Linked DNA regions of Xenopus tropicalis. Each later gene encodes a partner of the first gene's protein in a complex. Links are inferred from orthologs where the notes say so. Each region holds a gene or a part of one and is shown on either strand. Other genes may lie near its edges.

Evidence for each region. The genes of interacting proteins can lie anywhere in the genome.
Region 2: cdc40 (region 1) and rbm22 share a complex: the UniProt entries of both Homo sapiens proteins name them as parts of the postcatalytic spliceosome P complex. The link is inferred for Xenopus tropicalis from reciprocal best matches to the Homo sapiens genes CDC40 and RBM22.
Region 3: cdc40 (region 1) and bcas2 share a complex: the UniProt entries of both Homo sapiens proteins name them as parts of the postcatalytic spliceosome P complex. The link is inferred for Xenopus tropicalis from reciprocal best matches to the Homo sapiens genes CDC40 and BCAS2.

The regions. Positions count from the first base shown.
Region 1 is NC_030681.2:77,413,431-77,416,948, reverse strand, and holds part of cdc40 (pre-mRNA-processing factor 17), read left to right. Parts: intron 1-1,217; coding exon 1,218-1,292; intron 1,293-2,974; coding exon 2,975-3,020; intron 3,021-3,518. UniProt on the Homo sapiens protein: Required for pre-mRNA splicing as component of the activated spliceosome. Plays an important role in embryonic brain development; this function does not require proline isomerization.
Region 2 is NC_030682.2:89,088,402-89,091,919, reverse strand, and holds part of rbm22 (pre-mRNA-splicing factor RBM22), read left to right. Parts: intron 1-437; coding exon 438-491; intron 492-1,722; coding exon 1,723-1,752; intron 1,753-2,702; coding exon 2,703-2,835; intron 2,836-3,498; coding exon 3,499-3,518. UniProt on the Homo sapiens protein: Required for pre-mRNA splicing as component of the activated spliceosome. Involved in the first step of pre-mRNA splicing.
Region 3 is NC_030682.2:7,012,561-7,016,377, reverse strand, and holds the end of bcas2 (pre-mRNA-splicing factor SPF27), read right to left. Parts: intron 2,862-3,817; coding exon 2,769-2,861; intron 2,309-2,768; coding exon 2,238-2,308; intron 2,105-2,237; coding exon 1,943-2,104; intron 1,820-1,942; coding exon 1,769-1,819; intron 1,504-1,768; coding exon 1,423-1,503; intron 911-1,422; coding exon 790-910; 3' UTR 501-789; downstream 1-500. UniProt on the Homo sapiens protein: Required for pre-mRNA splicing as component of the activated spliceosome. Component of the PRP19-CDC5L complex that forms an integral part of the spliceosome and is required for activating pre-mRNA splicing.

The DNA.
Region 1 (3,518 bases):
GGTGTACTTCTCAACAAGCACCAAGAAGCAATATCTCTCCTGCTTCTTCTTTCTTTGCACAATAGAGTGAAAAGCTGAACTTCAACAAAAAAAGCCCAAAAATACACACAGGAGGGGGTTGTGGGAGCACTCCAAGGGGTATATTTATCATGCTGTGTAAAAAGCGGAGTAAAACATTACCGGTTATGTTGCTCATAGAAGCCAATTAGATGCTTTGCTTTGGTTTTCTAACTGTTGAAATCAAATTGCTGGTCGGTTGCCCTGGGCAACATCACCGGTAATGCTTCACTCCACTTTTTACACAGCATGATTAATATAACCGCAAGTAAATTATAGAAGTACAATAAAAATTACAATGGATCTGGCCAAATTAGTACATGTATGGGACCTGTTATCCAGAATGCTTGGGACCTGGGGTTTTCCGGATAAGGGAAATCTGTAATTTGGATCTCCATAACTTAAGTCTGCTAAAAATCATTTAAATATTGAATAAACCCTATAGGCTTGTTTTGCCTCCAATAAGGATTAATTATATCTTTGTTAGAATCGAGTACAAGGTACTGTTTTATTGCAGAGAAAAAGAAAATCATTTTAAAAAATCAGAATTATTTGCTTATAATGGAGTCTGAGAGATTTCCTTTCCATAATTCGGAACTTTCTGGATAACTGGTTTCCCATAACTGTACAAGCATGCAAAAATTAGGTTATGTTCAATGCACATTCCCTTGTCCCCTGTTTTACTAGAGAGACACCTGTTTTTGTAAATACATGCACTTGCATAGATACTAAATCTCTAGTAAAACAGGACCAGAGAATGTGCATTGATCAAACCCCCTGTTTAACAATAAGCCAACTTTTTTGTTCTACCATGCATGCGCGGCCTGGGGATATTGCAGGTGGATGGTGCTCAGGGAGTTAGTGCAGCTTCCTGCTAACACGAGCACCAGCCCAGGGTTTCTGGTAGGTGATACCTACTGGATACCTACCGGAATGTTTGGAACCCTGGGGGGGTTCCAAACATTTGGCACCCCCTTCCCTCAGTGATTTAGGCTTTTCTTCTCCTTCAAATTCACTTGTGTTATAAAAAATATAAAAAAAAACAAATATAAAAAAATCTAAGGGGTTAAGGATGTATACAAAATGTTATATTCTGACATCATTCAACTGCATTCAGTTTTTCTATATGACCTTTTTTTATAAAACCTTTTGGTTTGCAGGGTGTCAGTGCTGTAAGATTGTTTCCAGTTTCTGGACATTTGCTGTTGTCGTGTTCCATGGACTGCAAGATTAAGGTGAGAATTTCTCTTCGCCAAATGGATATGTAACCATGAAAGACATAGATGAGACAGCCTTTCAACGCATCTTGTTAATAATTCTAATAAATAACTTATCAGCTTTGAAAAAGGAACTTGCATGTTCCAAAAAGGCTTGATCTTATTGTCATTATAGTTGGCCACTAAAAATATCAACTTTTCACCATATTTGTTATACAGTAGAATCCCCATTTTACTTTTTTAGCGGACCAGGAAAAATGGTGTAAAATCTGGGAAAATCTAAAATGAGGGAAATGTGTTAACTTATTTTTCAAGTACCTAAAGGATATAAACACAGGGAGTCAGTTTTACAAGATTTAGGGGCTGATTTACTAACCCACGAATCCGACCCGAATTGGAAAAGTTCCGACTTGAAAACGAACATTTTGCGACTTTTTCGTATGTTTTGCGATTTTTTCGGATTCTGTACGAATTTTTCGTTACCAATAAGATTTTTGCGTAAAAACGCGAGTTTTTCGTATCCATTACGAAAGTTGCGTAAAAAGTTGCGCATTTTGCGTAGCGTTAAAACTTACGCGAAAAGTTGCGCATTTTTCGTAGCGTTAAGTTTTAACGCTACGAAAAATGCGCAACTTTTCGCGTAAGTTTTAACGCTACGCAAAATGCGCAACTTTTTACGCAACTTTCGTAATGGATAGGAAAACTCGCGTTTTTACGCAAAAATCGTATTGGATCCGAAAAATTCGTAAAGAATCCGAAAAAATCGCAAAACATACGAAAAAATCGCAAAGTACCGATCATTACGAAAAAAACGCAATCGGACTCCATTCGACCCGTTCGTGGGTAAGTAAATCAGCCCCCTAGTGTGTGAATGACAAGGGTTAAGCAGTGGACAGAGGGATTTACAAGACCTCTCTGACGGTCAGATGCGCAACCTAAAGTAATAAGTGGTGTGTGCATGTTTATATGAGGTGCAGACTAATTGTAATTGACTGACATTAATGGGCTTATTTATCAATTTTGGAGTTTGTGAATTTGAGTTTGTCTTTATAAATCGAATAAACGTACATATCAACTGCTTGTTTATTAATAAAGAAAACTCGTTGAAACAAAAAACATTTTTTTTTTTTTTTTTGCAATGATTTTTCGCATTGACTTTTATAGTAACTTACAAGCTTTTAGGTGGCGAACTTTTACATTCAAGTTTTCAGGTTTTTTGCACTCATTAAGTTTCAGACATTCGAGTTCTTGAAACATAATTTAAATTTGAGGTTTTTTTTTTTTATCCAAAAAATGTTGATAAATCTCCCCATAACATTGCAAAATATGCAGTTGGTTAGTATTATAACACTCTTTTGTTTCACTAATAATATTTATAAAGGACAAACATACATTTTTGGGGACGTCAGGGAAAAGCACCCATTGAAATGCATTATAAATTGGTGGGACCACAAAAATCAATGTGAAAAGCAAGAAAACTTAAAATCAGGGTATCTAAAATTGAGGTTTCACTGTATTAAATGTTTTCACTAACTTTTTGACTAGCTTACTTGGTCACACTTTAAAATAACCTGTGTCTTTGCCTTTAAGAAATTTTTCTTTGTTTGATATCTATATTTTGTGATGCTCAGTTCTGCTAAGGTGTTTCCATTTTTTTTTTTTTTACTTTTTTTTTATATTTTATGTTTTTATTTGAATAGCTCTGGGAGGTGTACAAAGACCGAAGATGCTTACGCACATTTATAGGTACAGTGCTGAATTGACTTTTTTTTTTAAAGTATGTTCAAAGATAGAACTGCATAAAAGTAAGTCCAAGTCCAAGGACCGTGAGGTATGCCCATAAATTGACTTAGAGTTGCGGGGATTGTCTCTTAATGGCATGTGATTAGTGTGCAAGACTGTATGCCATGCCTTAAGCCTCCACAGCTAGAAAGTGGCACGTCCAGCTTCCACCTTGTACAGATTGTGGTGTCATATTTAATAGCTGACACATGTCGTGGCTTTATGTACAGTATGGGAAACAAAGTATCCGATATCATTATGCTACTGACTGATGTTATGCCTGTTAAGTTCTCTATTGTACACATGGCCCTTTTTAGGAATTGGCAGTGTTAGCTGCAAAAACCGTTACCAGATCTATCCATTTAGTATAATATGCCTGATTAGAGCTACTGTGTATATCTGGTCATCTGCTTCTAACACTTACTATAAAAATTCTGAGAGAGTGTGTTAATCTTTTGCACT
Region 2 (3,518 bases), on another chromosome or scaffold:
TAATAAAACCAAAAAAAGTAATGTACTGTTACCCTGCACTGTTCAAAAAATTGTGTTTACTTAAGAACTAATATAGCTATACTAATAAAATGCTGTAAACCCACAGAGCAGCAATTTTGTAACTATTGCAACTGGGCGAAAGGGAACACATACAGTATATAACAGATAATGTCATTTGTGTAGAATAAGCTTTTTTGGGTCAGATCTTCTTTACCTCTTTTATTGTTATTTGTTGTATTTGTATGCTATCTGTATGTTCAGTGTATATATATTTCTACTAAACAGCACTGCATTTATAAATAAATGTTAATAAAAATACAACACTTATAGTACTTAAACAGAAAGATAAACAGAAGTCAGATGCCTTTTGTGGCTCTCTACACAAGTGAACTTTATTTATCTTCCTTGTGGAATGAGTATTTGATTTGTTTTTCCAGGACTTTCCCATTTTGTGTCAGACATGTCTTGGCGAAAATCCATACATCAGGATGGTAAGCTATATTATTGAGTAATATTACTTTTTTAATTAGTTAAACAAAGGCTGCCATGTTATATTTGTAATACAAACAAATCTTTATATCTTGTATAACTTGATGTCCCCAGATAAGTGACTATTTTTCCTAGTTTGGGAACCCGAAGGGCCTAGGGCAAACAGCTTACGTAGGGGTGATGTACAGACTTGTCTGGAGAGGACAATGGCATGTTGTGCCCTCCACCTTATACAATTTTTTGACTGACTTGCGTCTGAGTCTTGATCAGATATCGGTCAGGGTGGCTGTACTTTTAGTTCAGTATGTTTCCAAGATGGTACCAGTGTTGAACTGTGCTTTAGGGCTCTGGCACACAGGGAGATTAGTCTCCCGCGGCAAAACTCCCTGTTCGCGGGCGACTAATCTCCCCGAGTTGCCTACCCCTGCCATCCCACCGGCGAACATGTAAGTCGCCGGCGGGATGGCAGATGCAGCAGCGTGATTTCGCACAAATCGCCGAAAAAGACTCGCGAGGCCGCGGGCGACTAATCTCCCCGTGTGCCAGAGCCCTTATAATCAGAGTAATGACTAGTTTTAAAGCTATTACAGTGGTACTCAATCATGTATCAGAAAATGTGCTTTTGCCTTCTTGCTTTTTTAGAATTTAGAGCCAAAAACAACTGCCCCTCAATGTAATTGTAAGTTGAAAGTATAGTAAGTGTGGCATGTTTCATCCCTTTATTTTCATTTGTTCTTTTACATGAATACTTGTTGAACTTCATGTTTTAATTGTAACTGTCACTTGAAAAAAAAATTGTGCTATTCTTTGCAGCAGTTGCAATTAGGAAGGGCTACGTAGCCCCCCAACAATTGACTCCTGCTTTGTGCAGTTTCTTTTCATTTGGCAATACACAAAAAGATCTGTTCGTTTTGTGAAGTTTCCTCATGAACATTATCTTGGCCCAAAAGCGGATGGCCAGACTTGGCAAATTCAGGCAGATCTGATCTCCTAAACCAGTGATTCGATCATAGCGTGGCCCTATGCTCACCTGTTGGGAGAGGAAGGCAGACGTGGGCTGATGCAATTTTTAGATCTGCTCAGTATGCTTCTTACAGATATCAATTGGGCAGCCCCCACTCATATTAAAACTGCCAAATCTGCAGCTTATGTCAAATTGTTTTAGCATATAATTTGAATTTTTATAAAATATTTGTTCAGTTCATTGAAATAACTTTATGCATTTTCTTTTAGACCAAAGAAAAATATGGAAAGGAGTGCAAGGTAAAGTAAAAAGGTGCACTTGATTGGGTTATTGTGCGCTTAAAAGTTTAGTGTTTTTTACGTAAGTGGTAATAAATTGGTGTGCTTTCCATTCCTCTTCAGCATGACACGATCACTGCATACAACAATTTTATTAGCACAGAAGTGCAGAATTCGGAGATTTCTGGATAACGGGTTTCTGGATAAGTGGTCCGATACCTGTACTATGTTTTGGGGCAAGGCGACATTTATTTGCCGTCCTTAATAATGTTGCATATTTAAAGTGGGGGAAAAACCTTTAGAGCCTTTATTTTTGAAAGCCAGTACTACCTAAAGTACTACCTACAGAGGTAGTAAGGGCAGTGACTGTATCTGGTTTATATGATATACATATACTGTCATGCATAGGTGTTGGAGAATCAATAAGCATTAGTTTCTTCCGTGCTAACACAGCTCCTTTTAAAGCGTATCTGCTTTCAATGTCTTAACTTTAAACAAATCAAAGAAACACTCAACCCTATTTTCTGAATTTCTCCTGTTTTCCCTCTATATAGTCTCCTTGAGCCTTTCTTTTCATTTGACTTCTAGCCTTAATTATGTCCTCTTTGGTCCTTTCCTTTATTCTTTTCTACTCTTCACATTACACATCTACACATTTTCTCCTGTTATCCTTTTTTTGTAATACATTTTTTCCTCATTGGAGTGAGATTTATACAGAAATAAAGAAAAATTAATATAAAACTCACCACAGGTAGGCTAGCTCTGCTGTTGGTATTTCAATAAATCTACTTGACTTTAAGTTGTATACCTTGAGCACTGCTCATTGAGTGCCTGCTCTCACATACACAGTTGTTTCCTCTTTGGAGTGAGCTACTATCCTATATTTGCATATAAGCGGATGTTTTGATCATTGCAATTCAAGTCCTTTAATACACTAGTTTTTCTTGATGTTAGCAAAAAATTTTTTTCAGATTTGTGCTCGTCCATTCACTGTGTTCCGCTGGTGTCCTGGTGTTCGGATGCGCTTTAAGAAGACCGAAGTGTGCCAAACGTGCAGCAAGTTGAAAAATGTCTGTCAGACCTGTCTGCTTGACCTTGAATATGGTGGGTTTTTTTTAATTTAATTGGGGTCTGACTTAGGTTAAGGGCAGTGGCAGACGGGGAGATTAGTCGCCCCAAGCTTGCTCTCAAGGCAACTTTGGGTGACTTGGGCAAATTGTAGCGACGCGTATGCTATCTCACTGCGATTTACATTCTTGCCGGTGGGATGGCATAGCTGGGAGATTAGTCGTCCGCGGCAACAAAGATTTGTCACGGGGTGATGGTTTATTAGCAGTGTTAAGCTGCACTACAAATTTCTGTTCTGTGTCAGAACACAATGTAGTAACACTTTAACACATAAAGTGGTATTTATGTAGAAGTTTCCTTTTTATAATGTATATTGTTTAAAACCTATTAGAGCAGGAAAAGGAGAATCAACTTAAAACTAAATTAATGCATAGAATAAGATTTGTAAATGATAAACTCTCATACAAAATTCAATTTTGCCTCTTGTCCATATTGTAAGTTTAGGAATATGTTGTCCACACACAGGTTTTGTTTCAGCTGCAAATACAAAGGAGGATTTGTGGAAGGGGTAGTTGACTGCTAACATGTTGCTGTTACATAGATGATGTTAGTAAAATCTTTTTGTATGGGTATTGTTGTTTCCTGCATGATGAATCCCATTCTTTCTTTAACCCATTTTTGTTTTGTGCCTTAACTTAGGACTGCCAATTCAAGTACGA
Region 3 (3,817 bases), on another chromosome or scaffold:
ACTTCTTTAGTTTCCATGCTATTTGCAGTATTCACACCAAGTCAGAGCCAGACAGATAGGGGAAAAGTTTCATTTGCTGATGCTGGAAGTGTCTCTGGGCTCAGTGCTGCTTGTGTCTCCGCCTGCACAGAACAGCAGGGGGCGCTCCTGTTACACCTTCATGATATTAACATTGTAAAAACAGATGAGACCCAGGAGGAAGGGCAATGCCAGGCTTTCCCACTGTATCTCTATGGCCTATAGAAGACAGTTCATTGGTTTTTACGCTGATTTCCTCTCACTGTTACACACATGACCCGTTATCTGTCGAAGCTGCCCATGTGGGAAATCCGTCCCAGCTCAGAACATACCTATTTCCCTCTGGTGAGATCAGGCACTTGTGCAGAGACGGGGGTGCTATCTAATATATAATGGTGTGCCCCCACCCAGGCCAGGGTTACGGTTGTGTGGGGTGCTCAGTACAGACCCCCAGGAGCGCACAGGATGATAAAAGTGGAAGATTTCTGGAAAACACTTTATTATTAATATTACAGTGAAAAACAAGTCAGAATTTCCTTATAAAAGCCGGTATGTGCCCGGCCTACGAGGCAGCACTGGGGCATTTGGGTGAAACAGGGAGACCCATCCCTGCGCCTATCAGCACCCAGGCAGAGACTACTCGCTACATTTCCAGAGTGAAGAGCCATAAAGCAACCAGAACCCCCAGCAGCGCTGCCCAACATGGCGCCAGAGTCTCTGCAGCAGGACCGGTGCTGTTACCCTGGAACCTGTAATCCTTGGGGCAGGGCCTTAATAATCTTCAATATTTTCCTTATTCTCCCCGCTCCTCTCTTTCAGCTGATAGACTTCATTCTCCATTTGCACAATTGCTCTCTCAATCTCGTAGTTTTTGCTCACAAGAGACACCCACCTGCAACCGGCACAGAAAGCAAGTTAGAGACAGACGAAAATGACTACCAGTTCTATTAAAGCTAAAATATTAGCATCCCATAAATACCATACACTGTACTAAGCACAATTCAGCAGGAACAGCCCCCTAAGTTTGCTCATAGCCTGTACAGAGAGATACCATAAAACTATGGCACATAGGGATTCCCCTGTACTAAGCACAATTCAGCAGGAACAGCCCCCTAAGTTTGCTAATAGCCTGTACAGAGAGATACCATAAAACTATGGCACATAGGGATTCCCCTGTACTAAGCACAATTCAGCAGGAACAGCCCCCTAAGTTTGCTCATAGCCTGTACAGAGAGATACCATAAAACTATGGCAGCATAGGGATTCCCCTGTTCAGCAGGAACAGCCCGCTAGGCACACTCAAAGCCTGTGTGTACTTCATTCATGGAAATACAGTATAGGGGAGTAGGTATTCCCTTGATAAGTTCACCCTAGGTGTGAACAAAATGCACAAATCTCACTTACGTTGACTCCATCTCTCTGAGTCGGGCACCTGCTGTCAGCTGGGAGTTCTTTCTCTGCCAGTTCAAGTCCTGAATCTTTTTCCTGTTCCGGTAACAAGACAAATAGTGAAAGCGTTAGAGCTGTTAAAATGGAAGTGTGCAACTGCTAGTAATACCCCAGGGCTAGGAACTACCCCACGTAGGTAACTCGAAGCTCATCCCAGTAATTACACAGGAACTGAGCTCTAAATCTCTGCACTTCCTGCTTCTGGGCTGCTCTCTTCCCCACGGCCAGGGAAGGATTATATATATATATATATATATATATATATATATATATGGTTAGTATGGGCTTAATGCCGTCTCACCGTAACTTCTGGAGATCTTTCTGCGCGCAGTCGATCATATGCAGCAGGTTCCTGGGAGGAGACAGAAGAATCACGTGACTGAAGGGCGGCAGTATCATTGGGTCATGCTATATCCTGTGCTGTAAATCAACACCCCCCCCCCCCCCCCCCCCCAACGCCATGTTCCCAACTCACTCGTTATAGACTTTCCAGGCGTTACAGCCGTGCTGGGACATGAGCTCCAGGTTCTCTATACGGACGGCCTGGTGTTCCAATTGGGCCATGGAGTTATTGACACATTCCTGCCACGCGGTGATGTCGTTCCTCTGGCCGGATAGGGGGGCCGGTAACTCATACCTAGAATCAGAGAGAGGGGTATGGTATTTCCACGGATACCCTTCAGCACAATGAGACCACATGGAAACCACAGGGCTGTAAAGCAATGCACAGATCTTGGTCCAGTAACCCATAGTAACCAGACGGCACTCACCTCTTCATGCTGAGCAGTTCGAGGGGCTGGCGCGACGAAAGTCTTTCAAACTCGTTCCTCATGATTTCAGTCTAAATAAAATGAATGAAAGTTGGAATCTTGGTCTCCTCTGTGAAGGGAACATGCCCCCCACCCACGTGATATTAGCACCAGTAGGTGCCAGGGTGGGCTCTGTGCATGCAAACCCCTCGGGGTTATGGGACTATGAAAGCAATCTTTGGAGAACTGACAGACATAAGGACGAGTAGTAGCAGAATGAATAATGAAGTATTAATATTTTGCAGAGATATCAAGTTGCTAGGGTCAAATTTACCCTAGCAACCAGACAGTGGTGTGAATGAGTATAGGGGAGGGGCTGGATAAAAAGTAACAGTAACAATAAAATTGAAGCCTCACAGAGCAATAGGTTCTTAGTTGCCAGGGTGAGTTCTCTAGCAGGGAAGCCATTTGGTTGGCCAATGTGCAACCACCGTGAATAGAGCAGAGGGGCACCCAGTGTAGGGTGCTGCAGAATAGGGAGAAAGCCATTACCTCAAATGCGGAATAGTCGGGGGTGGGCAAGTAACTCAGGTAGTTCTTTGTAGGCCGATATCTTCTGGTCTCCTCTTCCACCAAAGCTGCAGCCTGAGAGCAACACAGACCGGTTATTTACAGTAGAAATGCCCCCAATGGGAGTCATGTGACACACAGGGGCAGCACAGACCGGGTATTTACAGTAGAAATGCCCCCAATGGGAGTCATGTGACACACAGGGGCAACACAGACCGGGTATTTACAGTAGAAATGCCCCCAATGGGAGTCATGTGACACACAGGGGCAGCACTGACCGGGTATTTACAGTAGAAATGCCCCCAATGGGAGTCATGTGACACACAGGGGCAGCACTGACCGGTTATTTACAGTAGAAATGCCCCCAATGGGAGTCATGTGACACACAGGGGCAGCACAGACCGGGTATTTACAGTAGAAATGCCCCCAATGGGAGTCATGTGACACACAGGGGCAGCACTGACCGGGTATTTACAGTAGAAATGCCCCCAATGGGAGTCATGTGACACACAGGGGCCGCACTGACCGGTTATTTACAGTAGAAATGCCCCCAATGGGAGTCATGTGACACACAGGGGCAACACAGACCGGTTATTTACAGTAGAAATGCCCCCAATGGGAGTCATGTGACACACAGGGGCAGCATTGACCGGGTATTTACAGTAGAAATGCCCCCAATGGGAGTCATGTGACACACAGGGGCAGCACTGACCGGGTATTTACAGTAGAAATGCCCCCAATGGGAGTCATGTGACACACAGGGGCAGCACAGACCGGTTATTTACAGTAGAAATGCCCCCAATGGGAGTCATGTGACACACAGGGGCAGCACAGACCGGGTATTTACAGTAGAAATGCCCCCAATGGGAGTCATGTGACACACAGGGGCAACACAGACCGGGTATTTACAGTAGAAATGCCCCCAATGGGAGTCATGTGACACACAGGGGCAGCACAGACCGGTTATTTACAGTAGAAATGCCCCCAATGGGAGTCATGTGACACACAGGGGCAGCACAGACCGGGTATTT